Saccharomyces cerevisiae S288C: one gene and its partners. Changing the gene in region 1 together with any one later gene gives a genetic interaction. Each region holds a gene or a part of one and is shown in the gene's direction. Other genes may lie near its edges.

What was found.
Region 2: mutations in UTR2 (region 1) and TRM3 together harm fitness more than expected from each alone (negative genetic interaction), as found in Saccharomyces cerevisiae (2 studies listed by BioGRID).
Region 3: mutations in UTR2 (region 1) and RDS1 together harm fitness more than expected from each alone (negative genetic interaction), as found in Saccharomyces cerevisiae (2 studies listed by BioGRID).

What each region holds. Positions count from the first base shown.
Region 1 is NC_001137.3:76,286-80,098, forward strand, and holds UTR2 (chitin transglycosylase UTR2), read left to right. Parts: upstream 1-1,767; coding exon 1,768-3,171; downstream 3,172-3,813. Other genes in the region: YEF1 (NADH/NAD(+) kinase), read left to right, coding at 1-1,146; CYC7 (cytochrome c), read right to left, coding at 3,351-3,692. UniProt on the Saccharomyces cerevisiae protein: Dual chitinase/transglycosylase that plays a role in cell wall architecture. Chitinase and transglycosylase activities are coupled. Required for the polysaccharide cross-linking at the septa and the cell wall.
Region 2 is NC_001136.10:256,937-263,725, forward strand, and holds TRM3 (tRNA (guanosine(18)-2'-O)-methyltransferase), read left to right. Parts: upstream 1-1,978; coding exon 1,979-6,289; downstream 6,290-6,789. Other genes in the region: ATG20 (Atg20p), read right to left, coding at 1-1,619; exosome non-catalytic core subunit RRP42, read right to left, coding at 6,377-6,789. UniProt on the Saccharomyces cerevisiae protein: S-adenosyl-L-methionine-dependent 2'-O-ribose methyltransferase that catalyzes the formation of 2'-O-methylguanosine at position 18 (Gm18) in various tRNAs.
Region 3 is NC_001135.5:309,269-313,956, forward strand, and holds RDS1 (Rds1p), read left to right. Parts: upstream 1-1,689; coding exon 1,690-4,188; downstream 4,189-4,688. Other genes in the region: ADH7 (NADP-dependent alcohol dehydrogenase), read left to right, coding at 1-887; AAD3 (putative aryl-alcohol dehydrogenase), read left to right, coding at 4,622-4,688. UniProt on the Saccharomyces cerevisiae protein: Zinc cluster transcription factor involved in resistance to cycloheximide.

The sequences.
Region 1 (3,813 bases):
ATTAATGATATTTCCACTGTATTTCTCATGAGAGAAGTGGTGGAATGGATCTTACGCAATTTCCATTCAATAACTGTATATGTACAAGATATTTTTAAAAAGTCAACTCAGTTTGCTGTTGGTGACCTCTGCAAAGACAGCAATTGCAGTAAAAACAGAGTAAAGTATTGGTCAAAAGAATTTGTTAAAAAACACGATTCATTCTTTGACTTGATGATTACACTAGGGGGTGATGGAACTGTCCTTTTTGCTTCATCTATATTCACGAAAGATGTTCCGCCGATTGTTCCATTTGCCCTTGGATCATTAGGATTTCTAACAAATTTTGAATTTCAAAATTTCAAAGAAACGTTGAAACATATCTTAACAGATGAGGTTCGTATTAATTTACGAATGAGGTTGCAATGCAAACTCTACCGTAGAAATAAACCAGAAATTGATGCCGCAACTGGGAGAAAAATATGTTACATCGATTTCATCTCCGAACATCACGTATTGAACGAAGTAACCATAGATAGAGGTCCAGCTCCTTGTTTATCCCTATTAGAACTCTATGGAAACGACTCACTAATGACTAAGGTTCAGGGAGATGGATTGATTGTTGCCACGCCTACGGGATCCACGGCATACTCATTGAGTGCAGGAGGCTCTTTAATATCGCCAAGCGTAAATGCCATAGCGGTGACGCCTATATGTCCTCATACTTTGAGCTTTAGGCCTATAATTTTACCAGATAGCATGGAATTAAAAGTTAGAGTAGATATGAACTCAAGAGGGACGTCGTGGGTGAATTTTGACGGAAAAGATAGAGTTGAATTGAAACAGGGTGACTATGTTGTGATAACTGCAAGCCCCTATTCGGTACCGACTATCGAGTCATCTGCCAGTGAATTTTTTGAAAGTATCAGTAAAAATCTTAATTGGAATGACCGCGAAGAGCAGAAGCCATTTGCACATATTCTCTCGCCAAAAAATCAAGAAAAATATAGATTAGACTCATCGAAAAATGGAAACGACACCATAAGTAATCCCCTCGAGAGTTCATGCATAAGCTCAGATGCACAAGATGAGGAGAGGAAATCCGTAACGGAAACAGAAACAGAAATAGTTGTTGAACGGACTCGTCAGGCTCATTTTGCAATCTAACGATTTCCCACATCCTGCGTTTCCGTAGTCAAGGGTTCATAATGGATGATGAGCCTGTAAACAGCTTTGTATTTACCTCTTTTACTTCAAGAATGCTCTTGCGTCGTTTGCAGTGTCGAAGAAGATCCAGTAGAGCTATACAAAATGGAGAAATGAAACAGTTGAACCAGAGCGCCGCATTTGGCAGGTAGTTTCGCTAAATTTCCTCATGCGCGTTTGTAATTATGCTAGTTAACCATATGATAAGGTTGCCTAACTTGCAGTCACCGGAAGGTTATTTCCGGAATGGTGCAGAATAATTTTTAAAATAGTAGCATATATTTCGTTCCAATTCCCAAATAGGGAATTATAATTATGACAGATAAATTCCCGATTAGGAAGAAGCGCGAAAATTCTTGAAAAACTTTTTTCAACCTCGAAGAAAATCGTCGTCCTTCGAAGATTTAGTGGGAATCTTCAAGGTGGATAGTTTCCAAATTAAAACTGCAGAAGAGGCTTTTAAAACATGCCTGAGGTATAAAAAGAACAACATTCCTGGTGATTATGGTTTCTGTTGGACCCTGTTCCCTTTGTAAAACTTCTATTTATTGTCCTGCAAATAAGCTAATTATATAATTAATAATGGCAATCGTTAATAGTTGGCTAATTTGTTTAGTCAGTATTTTTTCCTTCGTGGTACGTGTAGAGGCCGCTACATTTTGCAATGCAACTCAAGCATGTCCCGAAGATAAACCATGTTGCTCACAATATGGTGAATGTGGTACTGGTCAATATTGTCTGAACAACTGTGATGTAAGATATTCGTTTAGTCATGATTCATGTATGCCTGTACCTATCTGCAAGAGTTCATCCACTAAATTCAAAGATTATTCCTCTAAGTTGGGGAATGCTAACACTTTCTTAGGAAATGTTAGTGAGGCTGATTGGTTGTATACTGGTGACGTTTTGGATTATGATGATGAAGAAAGTTTAATTTTGGCGATGCCCAAGAACAGTGGTGGTACCGTTCTTTCCTCCACGAGGGCTGTTTGGTATGGTAAGGTCAGTGCTAGAATAAAGACGTCACATCTTGCTGGTGTGGTCACTGGGTTCATTCTGTATTCCGGCGCAGGTGATGAACTTGATTACGAATTCGTCGGTGCTGATCTAGAAACTGCTCAAACCAATTTCTATTGGGAAAGTGTTTTGAACTACACGAATTCTGCCAATATTTCCACTACTGATACATTTGAAAACTACCATACTTACGAATTAGATTGGCACGAAGATTATGTAACATGGTCCATCGATGGTGTCGTCGGTAGAACCTTGTACAAGAACGAAACTTATAACGCCACCACCCAAAAATATCAATACCCACAAACCCCATCCAAGGTGGATATTTCCATTTGGCCAGGTGGTAATTCTACCAACGCTCCAGGAACCATTGCATGGTCTGGTGGTGAAATTAATTGGGACGCATCCGATATCAGCAACCCAGGATATTATTATGCTATTGTCAATGAAGTTAATATCACATGTTATGATCCACCAAGCGATACCAAGAAGAATGGTACTTCTGCTTATGTGTATACTTCGTCCAGTGAATTTTTGGCCAAAGACATTGCTATTACCGATGATGAGGTCATGATGGACAGTGATGAGGGATCTGGCTTGGACCCACATAAGGGAGCTACCACATCTTCCACCCAAAAGAGTTCTTCCTCAACTGCAACCTCTTCCTCCAAAACGTCATCCGATCACAGCAGTTCAACTAAGAAGAGTAGTAAGACTAGTTCCACCGCTTCATCATCATCATCATCATCTTCTTCTTCTTCTTCTTCTTCCTCTACTGCTACTAAGAACGGAGATAAAGTCGTATCCTCCGTATCCTCTTCCGTCACTTCCCAAACTCAAACAACATCTTCTGTAAGCGGAAGCGCCTCCAGCAGTACAAGCTCAATGAGCGGTAATAACGCAGGTGCCAACGTAGCGGCAAACTGGCGTTTGACTGTTTTATGTGTCATCCTAGGTTATGTCTTATAGGAGGATCTGCATCTAAGAACAAATAGGCTACACAGGACTCTCAAAAAAAAATGTATTAATAAATAAAAGAACTTAAATATAGACTTTTTATTCGCATGCATATAAAAATAATTAATTAATAAATAACTGTAAAAAACTAGAATAATAAAAGTAATAAATATCTCCTCCGACGACATAGCCTATTTGGCAGCCTTTGTCATATAAGTAATTAAATCGTTTCTGTCCTTTTCCTTCTTCAACCCGGCAAACGCCATCTTGGTACCAGGAATATATTTCTTTGGGTTCGTCAAGTACTCGGACATACTATCCTCATCCCATTTGACGTTCTTGTTGATGTTTGCATCTGTGTAAGAATAACCCTTTACCTGACCTGAATGTCTACCAAAAATACCATGTAAATTAGGTCCAACTTTGTTAGGACCACCCTCTTCTATTGTATGACACTGCTGACACCTCGTTTTAAACAATGTAGCACCCTTTTTTGCAGAGCCTGGTTTGAATCCCGTACTTTCTTTAGCCATGTTTTGTTTATGATGTAATGTAGTTTACTGAAGTTTACTTAAAGTAATGTGAATAAATGCTTGTATGTGATCTTCTTGTATAAGTCTTTGATTTTGTTTCAACCTCAACAAAAAGAGAACT
Region 2 (6,789 bases), on another chromosome or scaffold:
TTGAATAGTTTGCCACCATATGATTTCCCACCGCTACCTGTATTATTATTAGGGCGTTCCAGATTAATAGTATGACTTTTAGACATTTCGTTGTCAATTATTTTGTCAACATCCTTATATTCATTGTTTTGCGCTTCCAGCTTCTCCAACTGTGCTCTTTTGGAATTCAGAGACTTTTTAATCATTTCATTTTGCAGGTATTTCAATTTTCTGTATTTGATCAATTCTCTTGCAGAAGTTGCCATATGAACAGATTCATTTAAAGGCTCATTTATATTGTAGTATAGTCTTCCAACTAATTTTTCTAAAGAAATCGAGGACCCCGAAAAGGCATTGCTTAAGTAAGAAAGCTGTTCGGCCAATTCCCCAACTTGAGCCTGTTCATGGGCAAACTGTGCAAATACCTCACCGATTTCATTGTAATCCGATTTCAAATCGTGATAAGTCTTCGTGGTTCGTCTATTATACTTATAAATCCCGTTATCTAACAAGTTCTCATATTGCTTGTAATCCTGTTCAATATTAGTAAACGACTTACTTCTTTCCTTATCCATTTTTTTGTCGTTGGACTCCTTATTCAACAATAACTGTGACGAGGAGCCCGGTATTGGTAACATGGCATGAATTCTAGTGGTGTTAGTGGGATCTAGTGGATTACACTGGAGGATGCTCTTCGGTAAAGATGAAAAAGTGGACGAACTGTTAACAAATTCATGCCAATTATGGTTATTAGGATCCAAAAAATCGGTAATTATAGATGTTTTTGTGATTTCTTCGTTCGTCAAAAGTTTGTTCAAGAACTCAGTGAGCATTCTTATCCTATGCCGTATTAACTTTTCATCACTATTATTGACCGACGCATGTATCACAGACAATGATAGATCTACTGAACCAGAACCTTCTGAGGGCAGCAAATACTTTGAACTCGAACCAGTTATTGACTTACCATAATTCTTTATTGACTGCTTTTCTGGAATCGGCGGTATCAACGTCATAGGAAACAATCTTATCAAGATACTTCTCAAACTCTCGAAATCGCTGTAACGTCTCTGAACGGTAGAATTTTCAAACTGAATAACATAGGCGATGTAGGCTCTTCCTTGACCTTCGGAAACTCTTTTCGCTTCAAGTATGTGTATCCTAGCGGACTTCTTTCTATTACTTACAGAAGGTTCTTCTGACGCAGAGGTCTCTCCGTTCATGGAGTTAATACTTCCACTAAGACTTGTTCTACATGTTTCTGCATTCGATTCTTGGTTTAAAGGCAATAATCCCTCAGAGTCATCCTCGTAATCTTCATTCGGGTTCTTTAGGTTATGGCTTCTCATACCGGGTATTTCTAATAAAGCTGATTTTGTGAATCCTGTTGGCCCCTCCTCCATGAATGGGTTGTCTTTTTCTAACAGGGCTGTGTGTACTAACTCAGTTTCTACTTTGTTATTGTCCCCCTTTCCAACCTTACCCTTTTTTGGGCTCTTTTTTGGCGATCCAACTCCATTCTTAGAAATTTCTGCCTCTGCCACATACTCAGTTGTCCCATGAGGTGGTTCAGCCTTTCCTGTATTCCGAGTTTCCGAATTCAATTTAGCATTTTCTTGGACATCATTTAAGTCTGACATTGTGTGCTGTAGAAGACAACTTTTCTAGATGGTATGTTCAATTGCACCACCAGTATTCGAGCTAGTCATCTCTTCATTTTGGAGATGACTTGCTGTAAATCGATAAATATTGGCTTACTCAATAGCCATATCTTAAAGGGGGCACAATGGGTGAGTTGTCGGGTAAGGGAATGTAGATCACGTGAATGAAAATTCAAGTGTTTTTCGAAAAGTTTCACCATGGCGATGAGCAAGATTGAAACAGCACTATTGTAACTATATAATTGCTAGTAAGCAAATAAGCCAAGCCTTATTAAAATCCGGTGAAAAGAATTGTTTAACGAACGTTACAAACTCTATACCTTTTTTTTACCAGCAAAATGGTTGGAGGTGCTCTCATCTGCAAATATTTACCACGCGAAGAGCAACTAAAGCTTATATCAGACTTGATTCAGAATGACAGCTTAGAAGAGGTGCTGGAGTTGATTGAAACTTCGCCACTGGATATAACGACGGACAGCAACATTGAAACACCAATCTTTGAAAAAATTACTGAGCAGGTCATTGCGTATGCTAGTATAGACGGTGAAGCCAGGGAAATGTTTCGCTCTTCGAGGGCTGAAATGAACAAGGCGCTAAGAACTTCTGCACAATTACTATGTTGTTTACCCAGTGTATGGCATAAATTTCAGGTGTGGATGAGCTACCGGTTAAATGACATCATTAGCGAAAACTATAAACATCTCTTCAATGACAACTTTGGAAAAAAGATTGTACAACCATTTTTCGATTCTTTTGCTGAGGAACAAAACGCTAATATCAAGCATGAAAATCTGCACTTAGATATCCTTAGCCTGCTTCACTACTTAGAAGTTGTATATTTATTTGACGAATGTAAGAATGGTATATCGTCCAAATGCCTAGATTTTATCATTGTTCCATTGTTAGGCTGTAATTCGGAAGAGATTGCTGATTCCTGCTCCAAGTTAATGAGATGGCATATCAAATATTTATCGAAATGCTGCAATACCGATAGTAACTTTGATAAGCTCATTTGGACATTTATCAAACAATTGTACGCTGAAGGCTCCCAACAAGCTTGGAAGCAAAAGAACAGTTTATCTTTTCTCCTAAGATTCCTTTTAGCAGCAGAGTTGTCTCCTGAACTTATTACTTATATAAAGACCGATGCTTATTGGAGGCACATTCAAACAGAGCTGGATAATGATGTGCACGAACACAGAAAATTGGCACTCTCAATTCTTAAATTAACAATTCAAAAACTGTCATCTCATGGTATAACATTGCAAACAACATTTTATAAATGCAATGATCTAGCAAATATCGAGATGCTGGGTAGCTGGAAGAAATTCACCACCTTATATGAAATGATTGCTCTGGACACATCATTGAATCAAATACAAGCGGCCAAACAAGATATAATAAAAATTTTTGATAACGAGCATTTACACCATAGTTGGGGCCTTATCTTGCTTTCTACGGGATTGAAATCATCAATGGAGAGTGTCAGAAAATACATGATGACGTTAATGTTCTCGATTACAAATATGTCAGCATTCTCTTCAAACTTGCCATTATTGACAAAAACTCTTCTTCCAGCTGCAATGTCCGCTCATTATTTTGATGTAAAAGGTGTCAGTTGTCCCCATGGTGAAAAACTTTCATTATTTGTCAATAACTTACTTTCCCAAACAACAGAAGGCATATCAGATATATTATTTGAAATTTTGAAATTATTGGTGGAAAAAGGGACCTCTTTTGACCCTTCTAGGATATACTTGTCCTACGGTATCTTAGTTTTCTTCCAGAATAACAAACAGAAAACAATCAACTCTGACCATTTGAGTCTGATCAGGAAATTGTACGATTTTGCAGCCGAAGAAGAGGTTCTCGAAACTACAATCCAAACAATTTACTTGAAGTTCTTACTGTACATTGATCCATCTGTCTCCGCATCTGAATTATTGTTTACATTAGTTTCACACATTAAGTTAAAGGGAGGGACATACAAATATGTTGAGCCTCTTTTTGAAGATTATAGGGATCTTGCCGTTTCTCACTTTGACGATTTGCAAGCGAAAGAAAACTTGACGACAAACATCGGAAAGGATACTATTTTTGACCTCTTAGCATCTATCATCTTCGATTTCAAGGATATTGATATTACTCCCGATTTTTTAATTGAAGTTGCGAAGTCGAAGCAAGATATACCCGTTTACACTTCAAAGGCAGTTACTTTTCTAACTCAGCTACTTTCAGGCGAACCTTCGAACGGTTATACCTATGAAAATGCAACCGCTTTGTTGTCTTACCCAAATTTTACAATATCTACATGGAAATCCATCAATGTGAATAATTTATTTAAGTCGGTAATGGAAAAATTTTCGCTTGATAAATTCAAGTTCTTTGCTGAAATTTACCAGAAGACTTATGAATGTAGGTTCGATACAATCGAGCTAAATTTTAATGACCTTCTGAGCCTATATGAAATGGTTAAAAAGTCTGCCAATCAGTGTTCAAGAGAGAGCTTTAAAGTGAAGGACAGCGCTTATTCTTCTTACTTTGAACTTTTAAATACCTTCCTGAAAACATACGCCTTAAATCGTGACTCTTCTGAAGGAAATGATGATGAGCTTCACATACTACTACGCTTAGTTGACGAGAATATTAACAAAGATAATGGGAATTATCTGGGGAACCTGGCAGTCTGTAAATTATTGTACTTTATCATAGATTCCTACATCCATTGCTCCACATCTGTTTCTGATGATGATATTTTCATAGTGAAATTCATTTTTGAGAAATTTTCGTTTATATGGGAATGTATTAATAGTGAAAGATTAGTTTTGAAGGAAAGGGATCTGCATTTGATGCTAATTAAGGGATTATTTCATCCTGTGATCCTGTACTTTGGATCAAATCAGTATATCGATACTTTGACCTCGAAGTTGGAGGAACATGCACAAACGATTATATCATTGAGTTATTCCAGAAGAAGCCTACTCCCTCTTCTCGGATCACAACTCAGAGTATTTATGAAGTTTTATGGGAAATTGTTAAGAGAAGATGTCAACTATTGGTGGTTGATTAACATTATAGTAGGTGTTTTCAAACAGCCGCAAATGGATGTCAACCTTTACAAGCTCAAACCTGTTATTTCCAGCCTATTTGACCACAAACTGAACAATTATTACATAAAAGGCGATGAACTTTATGAAAAGGTGTACGGACCCGACGAAATATTGGCTAGAGTATCTATTATTGATTCTATTTTATATGCAAATGATCAGTTGAAAATTCGATTAATCGAAAAAGTTACTGAAAAAACAAACGCACTTTATGCTATAAAGAGAACCGACGGTGCCGAAGCGTTACAGAGGTTGTTGCAGTGGCAATTGTTATTATTATCACTACTAACCACCAATGAAAAAAAATTAAGCGAAACTAGCATGATCAGAATTCTAAAGAGTATCGAGGATGAAAGTTCACCACTAGTAAGAGTATATAAAGAATGGTTCATTTCCTCAAAGGTTGTTGATTATTATAAAACTGGCAATCCAAAATTTGCTGAGGATTATCTCTTCTCATTGCTGGAGGATCATAGCAAACCGGTGTTTGTAGTTAGCGCAGAAAAAATATGCTTTATGGTGTTGAAAGATTTAAGAAACGACGAAAAGAAATATGGATTTACACAGTTACTAGACAGATTCATTTGCACGTTAGTTCCTAACGCAGCTTCAAACAAACCTCTGGTAAGGCATTTTTCTAATTCTCTAATAATTTCATTATGGCCTACATTCAAAGCCTACCTATCGGATCACACACTGAGAAACATCATTGAGAACTTATATTCCAATGCCAAAAAGACTCAAATATTTGGTCAATATCGTGCCGGGGATGCCAACATATGGGATCTGAAGGGTGATAGGAAATTAACGAACATGTTTGGTGGTGTGCTCAAAAAAGTTACCGACCATGATTGCCCGTACATTTCTGAGTCTGTTTTCGAAAAATATTTGCAGGAGAAAGATATTGTTCCTATAGGTACCGATGAAAGGTCCTTATGGCTTGATAAAAGAGACACCAATACGGAATCTGTTAACAACGCGAACATCTCCTGTGACACTTCTCCACTGCAAACAAAAAGTGGAGCTTGGGAAACCGTTCTGGATCTGGACAATAAAAAATCGAATGATGTCGTTACACGTTCTGAATTGATTGTGGTATCTTCATTAGTTGATAAGCCGCCAAACCTGGGAGGTATTTGTAGGTTATGTGATGTTTTAGGTGTGGGACTGCTTACTGTACAAGACATCAAAGTCAAAAACCATCCTCAATTTAAAAATGTTGCTGTGACTGCTGATAGATGGATGCCCATGGAGGAAGTTGCCCTAGATGAGATTGCAAGTTTCATGAAAGAGAAAAAGAAGGAAGGGTACACATTAATTGGGCTAGAGCAAACGGATAAATCAGTGAAGCTAGACAACAATTTCCAATTCCCTAAAAAATCATTGATCTTGCTAGGAACCGAAGCATTCGGTATTCCGGGGACTTTGTTAAGCGAATTGGATTTATGTTTAGAGATTCAACAATTTGGTGTGATCAGATCAATGAATATTCAAACGGCAACCGCAGTTATCGTTCATTCCTATACAGTTCAACACATGTAAGAATCAGGTTTCATTCCCACTTTTGTTAACCATGAAGTTTTTAGTATGTAAACTAATTTGTCTTTTTATCTAATTGTGACTATATTTTTATAAATTCTCCAGTGATCGTACTACGTCGGGGGCGTATTTCTCCACCATTGCAAGACCTTGCTTCAACAAATGAGGTTTAAAGCTTTTAACGTTTGAATCATTCAATGCTACTGATCTGATAGGTGATGTAATCTTACCATTAGACCAGGAAATGATTAGGCCATTATTGGCCACTTCGCTTTCGTTGGCTGCAGGGTCCAATAGCATATTGTTGCCTACAACGGCCAATATAAACACTAAAGGCGGATTAATGTCAAGCTTAACCATGTCGTAATCATGAAACGTAGGAAGTTCTTCCACCTCTAAGTCGTCAAAAGCTGAAATAAGTTTCGGTAGGTATGTGGAGTTCAACGCTGAATAAATAGCAAAGGATATTAAAGAAACTGGGTGTGAATGTGATGAAATGACCA
Region 3 (4,688 bases), on another chromosome or scaffold:
GACATGAAATAATTGGCCGCGTGGTGAAGGTTGGATCCAAGTGCCACACTGGGGTAAAAATCGGTGACCGTGTTGGTGTTGGTGCCCAAGCCTTGGCGTGTTTTGAGTGTGAACGTTGCAAAAGTGACAACGAGCAATACTGTACCAATGACCACGTTTTGACTATGTGGACTCCTTACAAGGACGGCTACATTTCACAAGGAGGCTTTGCCTCCCACGTGAGGCTTCATGAACACTTTGCTATTCAAATACCAGAAAATATTCCAAGTCCGCTAGCCGCTCCATTATTGTGTGGTGGTATTACAGTTTTCTCTCCACTACTAAGAAATGGCTGTGGTCCAGGTAAGAGGGTAGGTATTGTTGGCATCGGTGGTATTGGGCATATGGGGATTCTGTTGGCTAAAGCTATGGGAGCCGAGGTTTATGCGTTTTCGCGAGGCCACTCCAAGCGGGAGGATTCTATGAAACTCGGTGCTGATCACTATATTGCTATGTTGGAGGATAAAGGCTGGACAGAACAATACTCTAACGCTTTGGACCTTCTTGTCGTTTGCTCATCATCTTTGTCGAAAGTTAATTTTGACAGTATCGTTAAGATTATGAAGATTGGAGGCTCCATCGTTTCAATTGCTGCTCCTGAAGTTAATGAAAAGCTTGTTTTAAAACCGTTGGGCCTAATGGGAGTATCAATCTCAAGCAGTGCTATCGGATCTAGGAAGGAAATCGAACAACTATTGAAATTAGTTTCCGAAAAGAATGTCAAAATATGGGTGGAAAAACTTCCGATCAGCGAAGAAGGCGTCAGCCATGCCTTTACAAGGATGGAAAGCGGAGACGTCAAATACAGATTTACTTTGGTCGATTATGATAAGAAATTCCATAAATAGTCTATATACGTAATATTTTTCAGAATCTCTTAAAATGCATGTCAAATCTCGGAATTTATCATGACCCATTACATAACAAGAGAAAAGTGGTTTGCATTGTATGTATACCTTAAACCAATTCTTCGGTAGTCACATGACCTATATATAGGGACATTCATTTCTTGAATAGGATATTTCTTAAACTTAAGGGAAATTTTGATGAAAATTTAGAATCTCTCGACAACAGTGCAGAGCAGTAAGTTTTATTCAATACGAAATGTGTGCAGGGTTTTACCCATTCATGTCGAGTACGTCTACATTTGTTCTGCGATTTAACTTAATACTTAGCCTACTCATATGTATCGAAGCCAAACTATTAAATCTGAAAACTGAATACCCATTAAGTAGGTACATTAATGCAATTTTCGTCCGAAAGGTAGAGTGTTAATCATGCTTTTACTTCGAAATCTAGAGTCCGAGCATGTCTGATGAGGTCCTCTTAAAGCACTTCAATTTTAAAAGAGAAGAGCGCAAATTTTTACAAAGAATGCCTATATTAATATACTGTGCTATCTAAGAGGATGGTTCAATGGTTTGAAATGAGTTGAAAAATAAAGATTTACATAGTAGCGTGTATTCTTCACATTTTTGCATTCGGTAGATTTTCTACTCAAGACCCGTGCAGATCACTATTACACTCATTATTACAAGTCATTGAGAACGAAATTTTGACATCATTACTAATAATGTTACTCATTAATACTTTATTAATGTAAGCGGTAGATAAACAAATGAACATGAAATTGGCTGCTGAAATGCTCTGATGGATTCGATTACAGTAAAAAAACCTCGGTTAAGATTGGTTTGCCTGCAATGCAAAAAGATCAAACGGAAATGTGATAAACTGCGGCCTGCTTGCTCGCGATGCCAACAAAATTCATTACAGTGTGAATATGAAGAGAGAACAGATTTATCTGCCAATGTTGCAGCAAACGACTCTGATGGATTCAATTCCTCTCATAAGCTCAATTTCGAACAGCAACCTGTACTTGAAAGGACTGGGCTTAGATATTCCTTACAAGTGCCTGAAGGTGTCGTTAATGCTACGCTGTCGATATGGAACGCCGAAGATATGCTAGTTATAGTAGGATTAGTTACATTTCTGGATTATCCTTTTGCTGCGCATAGTCTGGCGCAACATGACCAGTATATCAGGGCACTTTGTGCTTCGTTGTACGGCATGGCGCTTGTTGACTTTAGCAATTATGCTAATGGTATTCCTTGTGAAGACACATCAAGAAGTATACTAGGACCATTGTCATTCATAGAAAAGGCCATTTTTAGACGGATAGAACATAGTAAGCAATTTCGAGTTCAGTCTGCCGCCTTAGGGTTATTATACAATGCATTTTCAATGGAAGAAGAAAACTTCTCGACTCTTCTACCGTCACTCATCGCTGAAGTGGAAGACGTGTTGATGCAAAAAAAAGACTGTGAAATACTTTTGAGGTGTTTCTATCAAAATATTTATCCCTTCTATCCTTTTATGGACATTTCACTCTTTGAGAGCGATCTCACTAGTTTGCTTTTACAAGACGACAATAATCGTTGGAAAATTAGTACTGAAGTTAAAAATGTGCGCAAAAAAATAGAAACTTTGTCATTACTTACAATAGTAATGGCCATGGCCTTGATGCATTCAAAATTGGATGCAAATCTTCTTTCAATGGTAAAAGAAAATGCCTCCGAAAGTGCCAGGAAACTTTCTCTTTTATGTCATAAACTATTATGCCTCCTGGATGTATTTCGCTATCCAAATGAGAACACTTTTACTTGCCTTTTATATTTCTACGTTTCAGAGCATTTAGATCCCGAGAGTCCCGATTGTGTACTGAGCCCCACTAACTTGCTTACTCTGCACCATCTTTTAAATTTGTCCATGACCTTAGGTCTTCAATATGAGCCTTCGAAGTACAAACGTTTCAAAGATCCAGAAGTGATAAGGCAGAGACGGATATTATGGTTAGGAGTTCAGTCATTACTTTTTCAAATTTCTCTTGCTGAAGGTGATGCTGGTAAATCAAATAGTGAATATATGGAGGCATATTTAACAGACTTCGAAGAATATATTGAAGCTTCCTCAGAGTATGAAAAAAGTTCTGCGAGTGAATCGAACGTGCAAATGAATGATATTGTTTGGAATAAGTACAAATTTCACGTCATTTTGAGTAAACTAATGTCTGATTGCACTTCAGTTATACAACATCCGCAGCTTTTCCACATTTTAGGAAATATTAAAAGATCTGAAGATTTTATGGCTGAGAACTTTCCTACAAGTTCGATTTACCAACCCCTTCATGAAAAGGAACCAAATGCGATCAAAGTTGGCAAAAGTACGGTTCTCGATGTCATGGATATTCAAAAAACTGAAATATTTCTTACAAATATTGTGGGAAGTATGTGTTTTTTAAACATTTTTGATGTCCTATCGTTACATTTTGAAAAAAAATGTGTTATGCACTGGGAAGAATATGAAAAGAACTATCATTTCCTTACTTTGAAAAGTTTCAATGCATACTTAAAGCTAGCAGGGTTGATATCTGATTATCTCGAGAATAAGTTTCAAGGGAACATTTTAGAGAGTCGCGGTTATATCATAGATAAACAAATATGTTTTATGCTTGTAAGGATCTGGATGTTCCAATGTCGTATTTTGTTAAGGTTTTCATACAAGCAAGAAAGTCAGAAAAAATTGGCCTCTTCCAGTATATCCACTAACGATAATGAAAAAGAAGATGAAATGATTGTCATTTTAGAAAGACTTATTAAACACATTCGTAACCAAATGGCACATTTAGTGGATCTAGCAAAGGGAAAACTTCAAGATAGTTACTTTGGTGCTTACCAAACTGTTCCCATGTTTAGATACGTTGTGTATTTGATCGATGTTGGCGGCTTAGTATCTGTGACAAATGGGTTTTGGGATAAGATTTCCAGTGATGGTGAAATACCGCCAAAAGTACAACAAGCCGTGAGATTGAAATGGGGATTGGACTGCAATAATTCGAGAAGAATCAAACAAAAGTTAATAAGCAGCCAGAGTTTGCAGAGTTTCAATCAAGTTCTGTTGTGCCAGATGGAGGATGCAGTTCTCTCCAGTTCCTTCGCAATAAAAGCCAATACCGCTATGTCCCAAAACACGGCTGAAGAATTTTTCAATATCAGCGAAGAAGAGGCTTTAAATCAACTATTGGAAAACAACAATTTTGATGCCTTCTGGGATTTATTAGGTGAAAATCTGAGCGATATGCCTTCTTTGTGAGAATACGGATATTTGGAAAGGCTAAAAAAAAAAAAACAAGCCAAAAACAAGAAACACTGTTATCCTCCACGTTTTTTCCACTGTTTTAAGACTCGACAAGACGGAAAGATTCCTCACATTTCGCAGTGTTTCTTTTAACCTGCTCGTCAATTTGAAAAAATGAGCATGGTTAGGCAGGCGGAATGTAATAGGTGCGGTGCGTATAAATAAGTATCTCGGCCGTTCCTCTATTGCGCTCGGCCGAGATGTCCTACATGCATAAAATAGATTAAAAAAAGGGATCACGATACTCAAATATGCATATAATAACAACAACACACTTTGCGGTAAATAGAAGGATAATATCGTAATCTTTTGCTGGTTTCGATGATGACTTGAAAAAATTCAATTACTCTTTCGATCATCTAGAAGAAGCATATCCATCGTGCTTAAAATGATTGGGTCCGCGTCCGACTCATCTAGCAAGTTAGGACGCCTCCGATTTCTTTCTGAAACTGCCG